Tribolium castaneum: one gene and its partners. The protein of the gene in region 1 interacts with the protein of each later gene in a biochemical or structural test. Links are inferred from orthologs where the notes say so. Each region holds a gene or a part of one and is shown in the gene's direction. Other genes may lie near its edges.

Evidence for each region.
Region 2: of the proteins of serine/threonine-protein kinase Chk2 (region 1) and serine/threonine-protein kinase ATR, one has a biochemical effect on the other in vitro, tested with the Homo sapiens proteins (2 studies listed by BioGRID). The link is inferred for Tribolium castaneum from reciprocal best matches to the Homo sapiens genes CHEK2 and ATR.
Region 3: of the proteins of serine/threonine-protein kinase Chk2 (region 1) and Pp2C1, one has a biochemical effect on the other in vitro, tested with the Homo sapiens proteins (2 studies listed by BioGRID, with this or other methods). The link is inferred for Tribolium castaneum from reciprocal best matches to the Homo sapiens genes CHEK2 and PPM1D.
Region 4: of the proteins of serine/threonine-protein kinase Chk2 (region 1) and M-phase inducer phosphatase, one has a biochemical effect on the other in vitro, tested with the Homo sapiens proteins (5 studies listed by BioGRID, with this or other methods). The link is inferred for Tribolium castaneum from reciprocal best matches to the Homo sapiens genes CHEK2 and CDC25A.

The regions. Positions count from the first base shown.
Region 1 is NC_087399.1:4,988,583-4,993,052, forward strand, and holds serine/threonine-protein kinase Chk2, read left to right. Parts: upstream 1-1,590; 5' UTR 1,591-1,725; coding exon 1,726-1,849; intron 1,850-1,895; coding exon 1,896-2,147; intron 2,148-2,192; coding exon 2,193-2,323; intron 2,324-2,367; coding exon 2,368-2,490; intron 2,491-2,541; coding exon 2,542-2,745; intron 2,746-2,792; coding exon 2,793-3,022; intron 3,023-3,095; coding exon of another isoform or gene 3,096-3,135; exon of another isoform or gene 3,136-3,136; intron 3,137-3,238; coding exon 3,239-3,416; intron 3,417-3,482; coding exon 3,483-3,593; 3' UTR 3,594-3,687; downstream 3,688-4,470. Other genes in the region: serpin B3, read right to left, coding at 186-310, 354-504, 551-1,330, 1,374-1,466; spin (protein spinster), read right to left, coding at 4,294-4,370, 4,416-4,470. UniProt on the Homo sapiens protein: Serine/threonine-protein kinase which is required for checkpoint-mediated cell cycle arrest, activation of DNA repair and apoptosis in response to the presence of DNA double-strand breaks.
Region 2 is NC_087399.1:7,319,015-7,323,466, reverse strand, and holds the start of serine/threonine-protein kinase ATR, read left to right. Parts: upstream 1-1,481; 5' UTR 1,482-1,756; coding exon 1,757-4,452. Other genes in the region: Hel89B (TATA-binding protein-associated factor 172), read right to left, coding at 1-11; vito (nucleolar protein 12), read left to right, coding at 647-741, 807-1,344. UniProt on the Homo sapiens protein: Serine/threonine protein kinase which activates checkpoint signaling upon genotoxic stresses such as ionizing radiation (IR), ultraviolet light (UV), or DNA replication stalling, thereby acting as a DNA damage sensor.
Region 3 is NC_087401.1:15,494,448-15,497,200, forward strand, and holds the end of Pp2C1 (protein phosphatase 1D), read left to right. Parts: intron 1-441; coding exon 442-1,425; intron 1,426-1,473; coding exon 1,474-1,562; 3' UTR 1,563-1,876; downstream 1,877-2,753. UniProt on the Homo sapiens protein: Involved in the negative regulation of p53 expression. Required for the relief of p53-dependent checkpoint mediated cell cycle arrest.
Region 4 is NC_087403.1:1,088,657-1,093,163, forward strand, and holds M-phase inducer phosphatase, read left to right. Parts: upstream 1-1,565; 5' UTR 1,566-1,716; coding exon 1,717-1,769; intron 1,770-2,072; coding exon 2,073-3,092; intron 3,093-3,148; coding exon 3,149-3,416; 3' UTR 3,417-4,053; downstream 4,054-4,507. Other genes in the region: protein D3, read left to right, coding at 4,354-4,454. UniProt on the Homo sapiens protein: Tyrosine protein phosphatase which functions as a dosage-dependent inducer of mitotic progression. Directly dephosphorylates CDK1 and stimulates its kinase activity. Also dephosphorylates CDK2 in complex with cyclin-E, in vitro.

The DNA.
Region 1 (4,470 bases):
AAAAGCACTAAGTGCAACAGATCTGATACGAGTAATGAGTTCATATCGTGAAAGGTCAAACCTTGACCATAAAACGATGTTATTTGTTTTTTGTGAAATGTAAACACCTCATAACATTTAAACGTAGGTATAAAAAAAGAGTTATATTTCCTGTTCAATCTTTTATTGAAACCAAACTACAGTGTTTAATATTTCGGATCAACAACTCTTCCTGCAAACAGCACCACGCCTTTGGCTTGAATGTAAAACAAAAATGGATGATTTGCTTTAAATTCTTTCGTAGTTCGTGGCGGCCCAGACAGCGTAAACACTAAAAAAACGCTAAAACAAATATTTCCCTGACAAAACCGTACCTAAATTCGTGGCAGCTGCTGCTTCCACCCCATCCTTGTTAACATCAATGTAACTCTTTTGTGTAACCTGCCCCACGACAAGCTCCCCCTTTTTTCCAGCAATTCCGCTAAAATCGGCCTCGCCGTTCATAAAAGCTTTCCGAACACCTAACTACAATTGGAATAATATTAAGATATTGCGTTCATGATTCGCACACCTTTTGCAATATCGACTTGAAATTAACGGTACTCTCAATTTTGAACCGTGGTAACTCCACGTTTATAATAACCGGCTGGAACGAATGTTCCCTGAAAATTTTATCCGCTTGTTCCTCAAGTCTTCCAAGCCCGTCCACAGCGTCTGGTAGCACGAAAACCATATGGGCGTCTTGTCCTTTAAACGGAGCTTTCAGGAACCGAGCGCCCAGTTCTTTATCTTCGTGCAGTTGATAAGAACCGCCTATATCTATCATGAATTCACTTTCAATCTGGTCAGTGGCCGTTTTGGAAAAAATCTTAGTTAAGTAGGGGTATTTAAGGAAGTTTTTAGAGGCCCAACGCGCCTTGAAATAAAGCGCATTGACCAGGACAGAAGGGCTGTTTTGGAGACTTTCGGGACGCACCAAGTTTTTTATTTTTTGGTTCGTTTGGTCCTCGACCCACTTATTTATAATCCCAGCTGCCTCAGTTTTCGAAAAATCTATATTTTCAACCTCTGATTGGAACATTTCTGTAGCAATTGTCTTAAAATCGTCCCTAATCGAGAAATTATCGTGAAGATAAATCTTGTTGGCTGTGTGAAGCGAGTAGTGTTCGCCCCCCTTAAGGCCCGAAATAACACTTTTGAAAGCAGTTTTTTGGTCAGAACTGGCCAAATGTAAAGCGGTTTGGATTTCTCGTGCTGTCTCATCTCTGGCACCACACTGGGCCAATGCTAGGACTATTTCCACGGAAAGGGGACTCACTAGTAAATTACCGCCCTCATTTTTAACACACTCCTGTGAAAAATGTAAGTTTTATGTTTGTTTCAAACGCACTCACTTTGTAAACATCAGAAGTGAACAAATAATTAGCTTGCGAAAACTCTTCTCCTTGGGTCAAAATCACGAGTGAGAGAACCGCAGCGAGCTTCATTGTAACTTTGCAACTAATTTACTTATCCGTGGTCACGGCCGGGTCACAAAAACAAAAATTTGTTCCTTTTATCAGTGATTCGAAATCCGCGCGCTTGGCGCACGTGTCTCTTGACCAATCACAAGCCCCCATTTCGCGCCTTTTGTTTGTCAAAAACATGTCTACCGATTGTTGCGAGATGTAGGCAAGTTTTTTCGTTTAAATTTAGTGCCATATTGTTATCACCTCATTTTTTGTTATTGTACACCTTTACTTAAGTATGTTGGAAGCCACAGACCTGCCCCTGACTCAGACCCAAACCGACGAGCCCTCTCAGGAGCTGGGGGAGGTGAAACGACCATGGGGGCGGTTGTGCGCCTGTATCTCGACAATGGTGTCGATTGGTAAGTTTACAAGGGGGCTAGCACTGCCAAACTTGTGAAATTCCAGACTTGTTCGAGCCGGTGTACACTTTTGGACGAGCCCCCAGTTGCAATATTTTCGTTGACGAAAGTCAGTTTCCCACGATTTTGAACGTTAGCAAGCAACATTTTCGGCTAACGAAGGACGAGGAGGGTCTCGTGTTTCTCACAGACCTCAGTAAGAATGGCACTTTCGTTAATAGAACGAAAATAGGCAGAAATAACGAATGTGTCATTTACAACGAGGATATTATAGCAATAGGGAGCCCCAGTACCAGAGGTATTAGCTGCATAAGTGCCACACATGTCTTAACGTTTTATTCAGTCTACAGTTTTATCAGTGACATCAATCGCGACGATTATGAGTTCCTACCTCAGGAGTTGCGGCTAAAATACACCACCACGAAGCTCTTAGGACGTGGTTCCTTCGGCCAAGTCCGTCTAGCCCTTGATAAGGTTTAGTTCGCTTTGTTTTTACCTCAAATGAACCGTAATTGTAGCAAACTCGGGAGCAATTCGCAATCAAACGAATTGATAAATCAAGGTCTAGTGTCTCAACACGCCGGGGAAACAACATAAGTGGCATTAAAACGGAAGTTGAGATACTGAGTTCGTTCTCTCATGTAATTATCACTAGTACCCACAATTGTGTGAAATAATGTCCAAAATTTCAGGCTTTTATTATCCAAATGAGGGAGGTTTTTGAGACTGATGACGAGGTGTTCCTAGTTTTAGAATACATGAGTGGGGGCGAACTCACAAGTCGGATTCGTTCGACTTTGGCGTTCCCCGAATGCGAGGTGAAGTTTATTTTTTACCAAATCTTACTAGGTGTGAGGTATTTACACTTAAACGGGGTGACACACAGGGACTTGAAAGTAAAACAACCACATTTTGTTAAACACATTTTTAATTATGTCTTTAGCCTGAAAACGTACTTCTGAGTACGCAAAACCAATACCCGAGAGTGAAAATCTCCGATTTTGGTTTGAGCAAGATCATGGACGATATCAGCGTGATGGAGACGGTCTGTGGGACCGTCCAGTACGCGGCACCAGAAGTATTAAGGTTCTTTGAGCCCTATAGCCGGAAAGTGGACGTTTGGAGCCTCGGAGTGATTCTGTTTTATATGCTGAGCCGGACGCAGCCCTTTGTGTAAGTAGTGGCCCAAAAAAGTGTGTCAAATTTGAAAATTTTTGGAATTAAGTCTTTAATTTTAAACATACAGGCCTCGCTTCGCTATGTTCAGCGCCTTTCAAGTAGGATAATGTGAGTAGTAGAAGTGTGGCTGCTAGTTTGTTTTTTGTATTCACCTATTTTATCCTAGCGATAAAAATGAAAATATCCGATTTTCTTTTAATTTCTTTTCAGTGGTTCAAGTAGGGAAGAAGTCGCTAAAAATATAGTGAGTGGCAAAATAACTTGGGACCCTAAAGCTTGGAGAAATGTGTCATTGCCGGCGAAAAATCTCGTGAAATCTATGATCACGGTGGACTCAACTTGTCGTTATTCCATTGTAGATATTTTTAAACACGACTGGGTGGCAAAGGTAATGTTTAATATATTTTTTACGTTACGAGATAAAAACGTGGATTTGTTATATTTGATATTTCAGGATCACGAAACCAGAAGAAATGTGGAAGAATTGGTGCAAACTTTCGAAGAAAATAACGATTCGGGTGACAATCTCGTAATACCAAAGAGACGAAGAATCTCTTTCGTTTAATCTTTACATAGTATTACCACTTGTTTTTTTTGTTATATGTTTTGTATTTTTTACGTTTTTACTTTTTCATTCAATATACTATTATTTACCTAAACGTGTGTTTCATTGGGATTAGGATTGGATTAGAATCACTCGAGTGTGGCTTATTAATTTTTATTTCGCTATATGTGATAACAAATTTGTAATAAATAAAACAATAACTAATACCATTCTAAAAAACGTACTGAATGATCACAAGATCATAATATAATACGAAATCGTGTGCGTATTTGATCTTTACGTTTGACAAAACGCAAATGAAAATCAGTCTTGTACAAAACACAATTAGTACTCTCACAAACTCATATTTACACGAAAAACCTTACACGTTCAAATCACACGCGCTACGAAAGTCTAATTCACTCGCTTAATACACCAATAATCAGGAAGGATTTTCCGTTTCTGAACCATCCGTTAGGAGTTGTTGGGAGTTTGCTGAAACGAAAAGCACCATGAGACTAACTTCAGACACAAGAAGAAAATAAGCAAAGACCCGCCACCTCGCACAATAAAAAATCACATACATCATTCAGTCGACTGACTAGAAACCACATCTCCTTGGCCCGTAGTGCCATAATCCGAAACCTCTGCACAAAGCAAGTCATTAAAAAACGCTCAAACCAGACCAATCAGAAATGGAACATTTAATGAAATAAAACAGTTACATTCTACGAGATATAGGATAGTCGGTTAAACTCGTCGCTACGTCATACAGAACGCTACTTTTCTGACTAGTCGCTAGTAAAAACACCCTTTATTTGTGCAACTACGAAAACCACTCACCCTGAATTGCTTTGTCGACTTTGTGCTTATCTTGCAAAATGTACAAGGCATTGAC
Region 2 (4,452 bases), about 2.3 Mb from region 1:
CTCGACGTCATGATTAATTGGGGTTAACGCGAACATATGGAAAGGCTCCGAATTGATCTGGAAGTGCGAAATTTGAGGATGAGCGAGGTCAAGTGCCCGATTTTCGGGCTAATATGGAGATCGGAGCGTTGGGGAAAATCGGGGTTTTTGGGGGTTTTGGGGCAAGGGCACTTACTTTAGGGCCGGAGACGGTGTCACTTGATCGACAGGGACATTTTGTAGCGTTTCATCATCACTTTTCGGCGCTTTGGTGCAAAGATTGGCGAAAAATTCGGGTTATATGACGATTTAAATGAAGGGAAGTTCATGATTCTACGATCAAATTTATACTGACAGCCATGATGAGATGAGCGCCGACTTTATGCCACGATATGGCTGTGATTGGTCGAAAAATTCACCAAAGGCGTGAAAGGGATGATTAATCAACGAAACTCCCAATTTCATAACATGACTCAAAACTCCCTCAAAAACCAAAATTTTAGCAACCACTAACTGCCTACATTCTCGCATTTGTGAACAAATTTACCATTTTTCAGCCAAATGAAAGAGTGATTTTTAAATCGCGGTTGAACCGCAGTATGAGCACGGCTTTCGCCTTGACTTATTTACTTCGAGTACTGGAAAAAAGAAAACACAAATTGTCAAAATGGCTGCGGGTTCATCAGTTAAAAAAAATCGCCAAAAAAATCCCAAAAATCGCACAAACAAAATACACCTGGTGTTCGACGAAAAGAAGCGTAGGTTCGTTGAATTTCGCCGTTTTTACGTGTAATGAATTGAGCACATGTCACTACATAACCTCACAGGGATTTTCTCACCGGTTTCCACAAACGCAAGCTCCAGCGCAAGAAAGAAGCCCGCGAGAAGCTCGAGCGCGACTTGAAGGAGGAGCGGAAGCGTCTCAAGTCAGAGGCGAAGGAGTCTTACAAAAAATTGGTTGTCTCCCATCGGCCAATCCCTGAATTGGAGACCCTTCTCAAAGAGGAGTATGAGGACGATGATGCCACTGTCAGAATTGAGGAGTTATCGACCGACGTGATCGCCAAAGAGAGTAACTGGATTGGGGCCAATCAGCCGATTTGTGAAGATGTTGAACAGGAAGAAAGTGAAGTCAGTGAAGTGCCTGGGATGGAATTGAAGAAGAAGGACAGTAAAGTGAATCGGAAGTTTGATTCAGAACGCGACGTGAAGCGATTACTCAAAAAGGAGGCCACCAAGAAAGTGCAGAAGAGCAAGGTTTTCCAGATGAAGACGAAAATCGAGGGGCAGAAGCAGAGGAAGAAGGCGAGGCGGGAGAACAAGCAGAAGATGAAATTGAAAGAGAAGAAGAGGAAACGGCACTGAATTGTTATTTTTGTATTAAAGAAATAAAGGATTTTTATTACTTGAGGTTATGTCATTGTGGCTAATTTCACACCAGTGGATACTAACACACCTCTTACACGTGCCCTAATAATTATTAAAAAAAATAACCCAATAAATATTCCCTTACTTTATTTAAATTTACAACAATCACTTTATTTCATACATTGGTTTCCGAATTATCACCCGATTTAAATCAGCACCTGTTGCCAACTTCACACGATTCAGTTCCATTGCGCGGGATTGCGCCAAAAGTCAAAAAATGTAGTCTGTTTTCGTGAATTAGACAATGTTTCGTGTAATTATTTCTAGTTTGTGATTTTTTATCTCCTTTATGTAAGTACTTTCGGCCCCCGTGACGTAAGTACCGTTACATTTTTTGTTAGGTTAAGTCATGTCACTACACGACGAAATCCCGGCTTTTTCCATTTGGGAGACCTTAAGCGCGACAATTCCGGCCCTAATGAGCATGAAACCGTCCGAAAAGAGCGCCGAACATTTGGCTAAAATAATCAAATCGGGGGATTTCACAACCATTTTCGTCTACAGCAGGGACCCCCTGAGCAGTCTTGACGACTACCGAAGGATCGCCGGGAAGTACAAGTCCTTCACGACGTGGTTTCTCGGCCGCTTTTTCTACCTTCTGAGTTGCGAAAAGTTGTGCAAAAGTCACAATGTTTACGTTGAGATCCAGTTGTGTGTCTTGGAACAGCTATCAAACACACAATTGAGCGTTTACGATGAGTTGGCACGGGACTATTGCGAAACCCTGAACAGTTTGTGCCATTTTGTCAAATCCGGGCACAGCACCTTAACTCTCAACGTTTTTGTCCCCGAGAAATACGCAGATTTGTGCCAGAAATTGAACCTCGAGCCGATCGCTATCGAAATCAATCAGAGAAACTTCCCCGATTTTTTCCTCAATTTGTTGAGGATTGTTAAATTTATTTTGGGCCAAAGCGTAGAGTCTGACTGTTACACAAGCGCCACGTACCGGAATTTGGACGATTTGTTGTTTTTTCTTTCCTATTCTTCAGTCGCCGTAAAAATCGAAATTCTAAAGATTTATCTCGATTTGGCCAAAAAATTCGACAAGAAGAACGATTTCGGTGACTTAATCCGGTTTAAAATGGAGCTGTTCGGGCGATATTTCGAACAGTTAGTTTATGAAATTTACAATTGTAAAATAGCCACAAGTACAAAAGAATTCCAATCGTTTGAACTCATCACGTTTGAGTTTTTCGGCCAGAATTTGGATACCCAAATTTTCGAAAAATTGAGCGAGTTTTTGCTCACCAAAACCGGCGAAATTGCGCCATCGGAGCCACTTTTGAATTTTTGTAAACGCAAGAGGTGTACCCCCTTGTTTGGAGAATACAATTATGAAAGTTTCGTCAAAACGGCCTTAGCTGATTTCAATACGTCGGTACTTTGTGGTTTTAAGTCATTTTTGTTGACCCAAGTTAGAAATATAAGACAGGAGGCTTGTAAAATCAAGTGTGTACATTCGGACAAATGGAAAATTTTTCGTGGCCAATTTATGCAACAAATTGAAGCCACCGATTGCACTAAAGACTGTAAAATACCCCAATTTTTGAAATTTCTGACCCACCTTGCAACAATCCTTACCGAAGTCGCAATCGAAATGAAAAACTCGAATTTGGAATTTTTTGAGGAGAAAATTTTCCTCATCAAAATCCTGGCACTCCTCAATCGCCATTTCGCCACGTGTGACAACAACGTGCCAATGCCCTCAATTTTCGACTGTTTTTTGAGTCTAGTCTTCGTTACCAGTCCCCCAAACGTTACTTTTTTCTTCGATATGTTTTCTTGTATTTTTGTGCAAAATCAACTCAGCTTTGGACACTTTCAAGGCACGAGCGATTTCCCACGATACAAAAAGGAAATGACCGAATTTTGCAAATACGTCACTCGTTACGCCCCAAAGGACGTCGCGTTTGAATACTTGAATGAATTTTTGGCGCGAATTTCGAGCGGTTTTTTCGAAATCGCCCAAATTTACGAAATTGAATCAAACTTTATGAAAATCACCAAACAAATGAATAACGTGGGGGTTGTCAGGCATTTAGCCCACATTTTGACAATCTTTCAAAACCCAGACCGGGTCATTTCGGAAATCCTCACACCGGCCCTTTCGTCATCAAACGAACGGGTTTTGGAAGAAGTGACCGAAGCCCTGCCTGACATTATTTGCGTCTCGTCGAGTGATTTTGTCAAACTGACACGAATCGAAGAGTGTCAAGTCAAAATTGACATTTTTTGTAAAAAATGTCATGACTTGACAAGTGACGGATTGAGTGTCACTTTTGCCAAAATTGACGTCGATTTGACAACTCTCCAAGGCGCCATTTTGAAAAACGTCCTCAAATTCCTCACTCTTGACAATGCGGGCCTCAAATCGAGAGCCTTGGAGGTGTTGCCGTTTTGCTCCAACCACATCCTCAAATTCCATTCGGGCAACGTTGCCAAAATTTGGGTCGAAAAAATCGGCGATTCTGACGAAAACGTGCGAAAAACGTTCGCGAAAGTGGTCCCAAAAATTATCAAGTGTGCGCAAGAGAATCAAGTTTTGAGCGACACTACTAAAAGTGAAACAATTGAAATACTCTTCAATTGTTTATTGAGGCTTTGCAAGAGGAGTCTCCAAACTAGCGATTTTACCTTGCAAGAGACACTCTTGTGTACAGTTGAGGAAATTTGCAACGTTAGATGCGAGAGAACTGTTTTACCAACAATTCGAATTTTGATTTATTTCATCATGGTGCCGACGTCCAAACATTCGCTAATCGCCGTAAATAAATTCTTCAAGTTGGCTGAGCTCCACGACACCACCCCCAGCCAACTTTACAAGCAAAACAAGCGCGAGATGTGCGAACTGATCGCACACTTGTGCATTGTGAACCAGACTTTAGTAAATTACCCACTCGCCACCTCGCTGTGTAAAATCTCAACAACGCTAGAGTCTTACGGTTCTAAGGATTTTGTCACTCTGGAGTGCCAACACCTGTTGCCGTTTTTCGTCCACAAGGCCATTAAAAGCCCACTTGTGGGGAACTTGATCGAGCAGAT
Region 3 (2,753 bases), on another chromosome or scaffold:
AGGCAAATTTTTTAATACGATTTGGCGATTTTTCGGCCTGATCTTGCAAAATGAAAAAAATAAAATTTGTAAAATCCAAAAAAAAAATGTTAACAAAGTAACGAAAACAAAAATAAAAAAAGAATAAAAAGGAAAAAATAAACAATGATTGACGTAAAAGTGCTTTTATTATGAAGTTTTTGTGATGTTTCACATGTTTTAATGTACTCTCTACTTCAAAACCGCAAAAATAAAATCAGTTACGCTGTTTTTTTAATTTTGTTTTTTTTTACAAAACACTAACAATTAAATTTAACAAATTTTTGCCCCGAGTTGGTGCATTTTCGGCTCGTTTTACCCGAAATTTGCGAAATAAAAATGGCGTCCGGAGGGGAGGCTGGCTGTCGCTCGCAATGGCGTCTGGAGGGGAAACTCCTACAGTTCCACTTGCATTTCTTGCAGGCGTGCCGCGCGTGGTGTGGAACCGCCCCAAAATGGGGCACCAGGGCCCCGTGCGTCGCTCCACCCCCATCGACGAGATCCCCTTCCTGGCCGTGGCGCGAAGCCTTGGCGACTTATGGTCTTACAACTCCCAAATCAACCAATTCATCGTATCCCCCGACCCCGACTGTGCCGTCTTCACAATCGATACCTCGACCCACCGCTGTCTCGTCTTCGGCACCGACGGCCTCTTCAACATGCTCAGCCCCCAGAACGCCGTGCACATCGTCCAGCAGGCGGAACGCCATAACGAAAACGCCGCCCTCAGCGACTCGATCAACAAAACGTGGCTCAACCCCAGCAAGCTCCTGGTGGAGAAGGCGCTGGAGCGCTGGCACAACACCAAGATGCGGGCCGACAACACCTCGGTGGTCACGCTCATGCTGGACCCCCCAGGTCCCCCGAGGGCCCAAGTGCTGAAAAACCGCAAGAAAAACGCGTATCCAGACACCGGGCTGGAGATAATGACGCGGTATGAGGAGGGGGGCGTGGCGGCCACGCCCCCCGAGTCGACCAATGGCGAGGCGGAGGCCAGTCCCGTGACCTCGAGCGACAGCTTCCCATTGAAGGAGCGCAATTTTGCGTCGAAGCCGCGCGAAAGCACCAGCTTTGACCCGAAGGAGGCCGAGGATAAGGAAAATCTCAAGGATGAGTCGATTCAGATCAATGAGATTTCGTCGAGTTCGAGCGACTGTGACGAGAACTCGAACGAGGCGCCCATTCATAATCTGAGGAGTGGGGGGAAGGGGCGTGTCGTGAAGGAGGGGCTGACCAAAGTGCGCAAGAGCAGTAGGTTAGCGCACGAGCGGAAGAAGAGTAAGTTGACGCTAGCGCAGCGCATTCTTAGGAGTAAGAAGATTTCGATTAAGAAGAAAGTGCAAGTGGCGAAGAAGAGGCTGGTTAAAGCCAAGTCAAGTACAAAGAGGAGGTATCGCGCCGCGAAAGGTGGGCGGAGTTTGAGGCGGGGACTGGTGTTGATTGGTTGTTTTTCAGGTGTGAAGGCGAAGCCGCCCCAGAAATCGATGCCAAAAAGGAGTGACGTGCAAAAGGGACGCAATCGAAGATTGCCGCGGAAGAATTGAGCCATCGGTTATTTCGTTCTAGTTTTAATTTTTTAATCTAAGATGGGAAACATCTACGTGATTTTTTATACATAATATATTTTAGTTCCGTATATTTTTCTCAAGTGTTCACATGAGCTTTAGGTTTGTGTTATTGCGAATGTGTTGTTCTTTTAGGTTTTGTCATGGAAACACGTCTAAAACATTTTTGTGCCTTTGTTACCAAGTGTTGGAAAAATAAATGTGTTAATAAACTTAGGCGAAACAAAGAAATGTATATTTATAATAAATGAGGAAATGTATTATTTTCGCAATTGAATAAATTTATAGTTTTACTGGTTTGTTTATTTTTTGAATCCCGAAAATCGCGCAAAATACGATTGAAAATTGGAAATTTTCTTAAAATTTAAACGGACCCTTTTTTGTTGGATTTTTTGCGAGGGGGAAGCAAAAAATGGGAAAAAAATTTTGGCAAAGTATGCCTTGCGGAAAAATTTGCGATTTTTATTTTCTGAAAAATTTTTGTAAAAATATAAGTCCGCAAAAAATCTGGGCGGAGGCAAAAAATGGCATAAAAAGGGCAAAAAATGGCACAAAAAGGGCAAAAAATGGCGCAAAAAATAGCTTGCGGAAAATTTTTCTAAAAATTAGTGATTTTATTTTCTGTTAAAAATTTTCAAAAATTTTAAGTCAACAAAAAATGGTACAAAAAGGGCAAAAAATGGCGCAAAAAATAGCTCGCGGAAAATTTTTCTAAAAATTAGTGATTTTATTTTCTGTTAAAAATTTTCAAAAATTTTAAGTCAACAAAAAATGGCACAAAAAGGGCAAAAAATGGCACAAAAAATATTGGCGAGAACAAAAAATGGCTTGCGAAAAAATTTTTCTGAAAATTTTTTGTAAAAATATAAAGTCCGCAAAAATTTGGTCGGGAGCAAAAAATGGCATAAAAAAATTGCTCGCGGAAAAATTTTCTAAAAATTTGTGAATTTAAATATTTTTAAAAATTTTAAGTCAACAAAAAAAATATTGGCGGGAGCAAAAAATGGCACAAAAAATATCTTGCGGAAAAATTTGTGGTTTTATTTTCTGGCCCAAAAAATGGTCCTCCGAAAACGGAGATTTTCGGAAACATTAATTACCTACCTCTCAAACGTCCCGATATTTACCAAGACAAAGGAAAAAGAAAACACAGTCAATCACTCAAATATT
Region 4 (4,507 bases), on another chromosome or scaffold:
CTGATATTCCGCGTCGGTGATAACCGTTGGTCGGAATTTACTTTCTCCCGAGCTGCGAAACGATAAGATAACTAATTACTTTCGAAGAAGCAATTCTTTTATGTTTGGACAGTCTGAAAGTGAATAGATTTTGTGTAAATTATGCAAATTGGTCCATTCCCTGGCCACTTTGAGATGAAGGGATGACCTAAACAGGTAGAGGTGGGAACGTCGGCAATTTGCCGGGATAAAGGTAAATTTTCCTGTATCCAGTCTGCGCATTTCGCACAATGATCCAATTGTTCGGCCAGTTCCCATGTCACTTACAGGGAACGTATTATTCTCACGCGAATGATCCTCTGATCTCTTCCTATCGGAGGCATACAGTATAACTCTCACTCTGATAACGCTATATTCAGGTTTCAGAACGGTCTTAAATGCCAATTCAACACATTCTATACTTATCACACACATGCCTCAAATATAAATATTTCTCGGCGTCATACACCACAACCAAAAATTTTATTCATGTGCTGACTTCATTTGCTCCCATTTCCTTCGATTAGGATAAACAAAACTGTATCAATTTTAAATAAATAAATTTATCAACATGTGCTATAGTTCAATGTGATACATAAATATCAAACTGAAATGCAAAAAGAACTGACCGCTCAACAGCTGCCAAGGAAGAAAGATACTCAACTTCATAACTATTTAGCTCGCTATGCTCACTCAAGGATAACAATTTTCAGATCAGATTCTGAGCCTCGGCAACCAAATGTTTAACCAGACTTCAATAAAGTCTGAAACATGAATCCATAAGTGAACAGTATTCTGATTCGGAAATTTGAAAAGAAAAATCGAATTTTAGAGCAGTAAAAATCCATTTATTTATTCCATATAAAGCAAAGTGAAATAAAACAGTAACAAAACTCACTAATTATAAATATGCCAAATGCCTAGCTTATTTCAAAATAATGCAAATAATGCATTTTTTGAATTTATCAGCATCTGTTGCGTACTGGCCATTTATTTATTTATTATTTTCACCGACAATTTATTAGTTTAACACAATTTATTTATCTTATTGATCCACTATTATTTTCACCAAAAAATAAAATTAAACTGAAATGCTGATAACACATTTGTACCGAAACATCAAGTGAATAAATCGCAGAACATTTATCTAGGAATTTTGAACTTCCTCACATGAATAAACATTTGCGTTTTTTCGATGCGAAAGAGGGGAATAAATCAAAAAATTGGAGATGTACAAACAGAAATAAATTTAATTCTGAATAAATAACAAATCGGATAAAATAAATTTGGCTAATTCGGAATTCTCGCTGTCCGGTCTATTAATATTTAAATATTACGTGATTAATTCCAAATATATCACGCGGGTTCGCACGCTGTTTTTTCCCAAGACCCGTTCCAAATTAGGCGCAAGTTTTGTAAAGAAACTGGATTTTTTCCAAAAATGCGGAAAGGGTGTATGGTAAAAATTTTCATTCCCAGGCGCCCCTCCCTTGCTTTCTTTTGGCGCCCTTGCCCTATCCCTACTCCCCACCGACGATGTGGGGACGAGCTGTAATAGGATAAAGACTGAGGTAGGCTACCTTCACTTCCAAGTCGCGTTTGTGTGGTGTGCGAGGACGTATCGTCCTGGTTTGAGTGCTTGTTGCTTGTGTTAGATTTTAAGACGTTTTAAGGATATTTCACCGCTTTCTTCCGACAATGTGGGATTCGATAAGCACGGATTCTTGTGATGTCTGCCAGTGCCCCCCAAGGTAATTGCCGTGCGGTTTTCAGCCCCTTCGCGATTTCGCGAACAACCCCCGAACCACTTATCAGTTTATCATAATTTTGTGGATTACGTATGCACAGTTGACGCGTTTTTCCCCGATAGTAATTTTTTGGGCCTGCGGTTGGGCGTTTTTTTGACCCTGCGTTTTTTGGGTGATAAAGGTGACAAGGACACTCAAAATTCAGTTTGCTGGTTTCGGGCGGGAAACGCCGTTTTTGCATTTTCGGGGGGACAGGTCCGGAACTGCTCGTTTTGTTTGATTAATTCAAGGCCGTTTTTGTTTCAGATCGAAACGAGGGGACGATTCTTGTTTGGATAAAGAAAATATTCAGCAAGCGTTAAGTCCGGTCAAAATAGAAGAGTTATCGTTTTACGGAAATTCGAGTCCTCCGGCAATAATCTGCTCCGGGACTTCACCGAATCACTGCAACCACAATATAATAACTCGGCGCCCCCTTGAGGACCACGACCCCAATTCGCGCGATTCCGGTTACGTTGCTAATTACAATGAGGGTAAATTCTCGACTTATGCTTCCCCGACTCGGGGGTCGTTCGAACTGGCCTCGATCGGGTCCATGGAGGACGAGTTTTTCGAGGATTTTTCCGATATTGAGCCCTTGGAGGACAACTTGCCGCAGGATTTCGGGAAATTGATCACTGGACCGATCAATTTCCAGAACCGGAAAGAGACACCGACTTCGCCGAGGGATCTAGTAATTCGGCCCTTATTTCGAAGGGCTTTGTCCTTGCAAACTGAAAGGACGCCGCCAAGCAGGGTCAGGTCTTGCCTCTTCAAAACAACAGAATCTCGCCCGTTTAAGAGACCAGAACCGCCGCAAGGATTCGAAAGCCCAAATTCGAAAAAACAGAAAATTGAGGATGAGGAAGCCGCTGTTCCAGTCGCAAGGCCTGTGCTTCAGAGATGCGTGTCTGCGACGGAGGAGAGTATAAAGTTTGCGGTCCAGAGGTCATTCGTGGAGCCAGACCTCATCGGTGACTTCAGCAAGACGTTTTGTTTGCCCTTAACGCAAGGCCGTCATCAGGACTTGAAGTGCATCACTGCTGACACTTTGGCCAAACTAATCCGTGGTGACTTTAGCGGAAACGTCGCCTCTTACAAAGTTATCGATTGCCGGTACCCTTACGAGTACAAGGGTGGCCATATTGACGGCGCCATTAACGTCTACACCAAGGAGCAGTGCATGGAACTATTAACTAACGTCGCCTCTGCGAGCAAGGAGCCGCGCAAAAGGAGCAATATCCTGGTTTTCCATTGCGAGTTTTCGAGCAAGCGGGGTCCAGATTTGTAAGTTTTGCTTCTGGAGGGTTGTATCGCCGTGCTAATGATGTTTTTGCTTCCAGATATCGGTATTTGCGTGAGCAGGACCGCCAGCTCAACCAGGACGTCTACCCTTCGTTGCACTACCCCGAAGTCTACCTACTTGAGGGTGGCTATAAGAAGTTCTTCGAGGAATATTCCGACCTCTGCGTTCCTATAGCCTACACGGAGATGCTGCACCCGGAATATGAGAATGAGTTGCGACATTTCCGGCTCAAATCCAAAACCTGGAATGCTGATACGCGTCAACGGTCCGGGTGCCGTCACAATTTGAAAAGACTAGGACTGTAAATATCGAATCCCAGTGCCAAAATTTGTGAGATAGTACAAAATACAAGTGCGCGGACTTGTTTGCCAAATGATATGTACAAAGTAATGTGCTATATTAGCATGTATCCTGAAGACTTAGTCTTCTTAGTGTATATTACAACTGTATATAAGAGAGTACCTAAATAGCTTGCTCCAGAGTAGTTGAGATGAGATCTTTCCTTTTGCAATGCTAAACCACCAAAGTTTTCTTTTTGTTATTTAGACAGTCGACGGATCATCCTGGTCCCCCTTTAATTTATTTTTTATGTGCAATTTGAACAGCAATAACGATGTGATGTTGCATTTCTTTACCAGTACATTATGCTTCCTTGCTGTTGCGCTGGTGTTTGTTTGCAGATTTTTTATGTTCATTTTATTAGTTTAGTATAGTCTAAGTGTCAGTATTGTTTTTGTATCCTTCAGCATATTCAAATGTGTTCGAATGCAACGGCTGGGGATTTTATACTACTTGAATGTGATTTGTTCACTATTTGGACGGACTGATGCTTACCCATCCGTTGCATCATAGATTTTTAAAGTGATACTTAATATTATAGATCTGTACAATATTTTAATATTTTTATAACTTATGATAATACATTTTTGTTCCACATCAAAACGAACTTTCTTTACCCTTGCACAACAAATTCGTTATTTTGCATCGGTTATTTACCGCTAGAAAGCTACAACGCGCCATCTACCAATCAGCGGGAAAAATCCGACTTGCCTTCCTAGAAAAATTTAACCGTTGAAGTGCCGTAATATTTTCACAAGTACATCATAACTGGCCGTCAGATTTAAAACAGTTAAGTGGCAGTTAGTGAAATCACCACCAATTAAAAGAATTAAAGAAACAAATTTATGAAGCGACATCTATCAAGCTGTAGCTAAATATATTGCGTAATAGATTATGTAATGCATGCTTCCATTTTCCAACAATAGGTGTCAGCCTATGACGACAACAGCCGGCATTTTTCTGTCATTTTTGCAACTTGTGATTGTGTTCTGGAAAGATCTTAGGTGAGTTTTTGTGATTAACCCTTGTCGTGTGTAGAGGCCCCAGAAAATCAAAT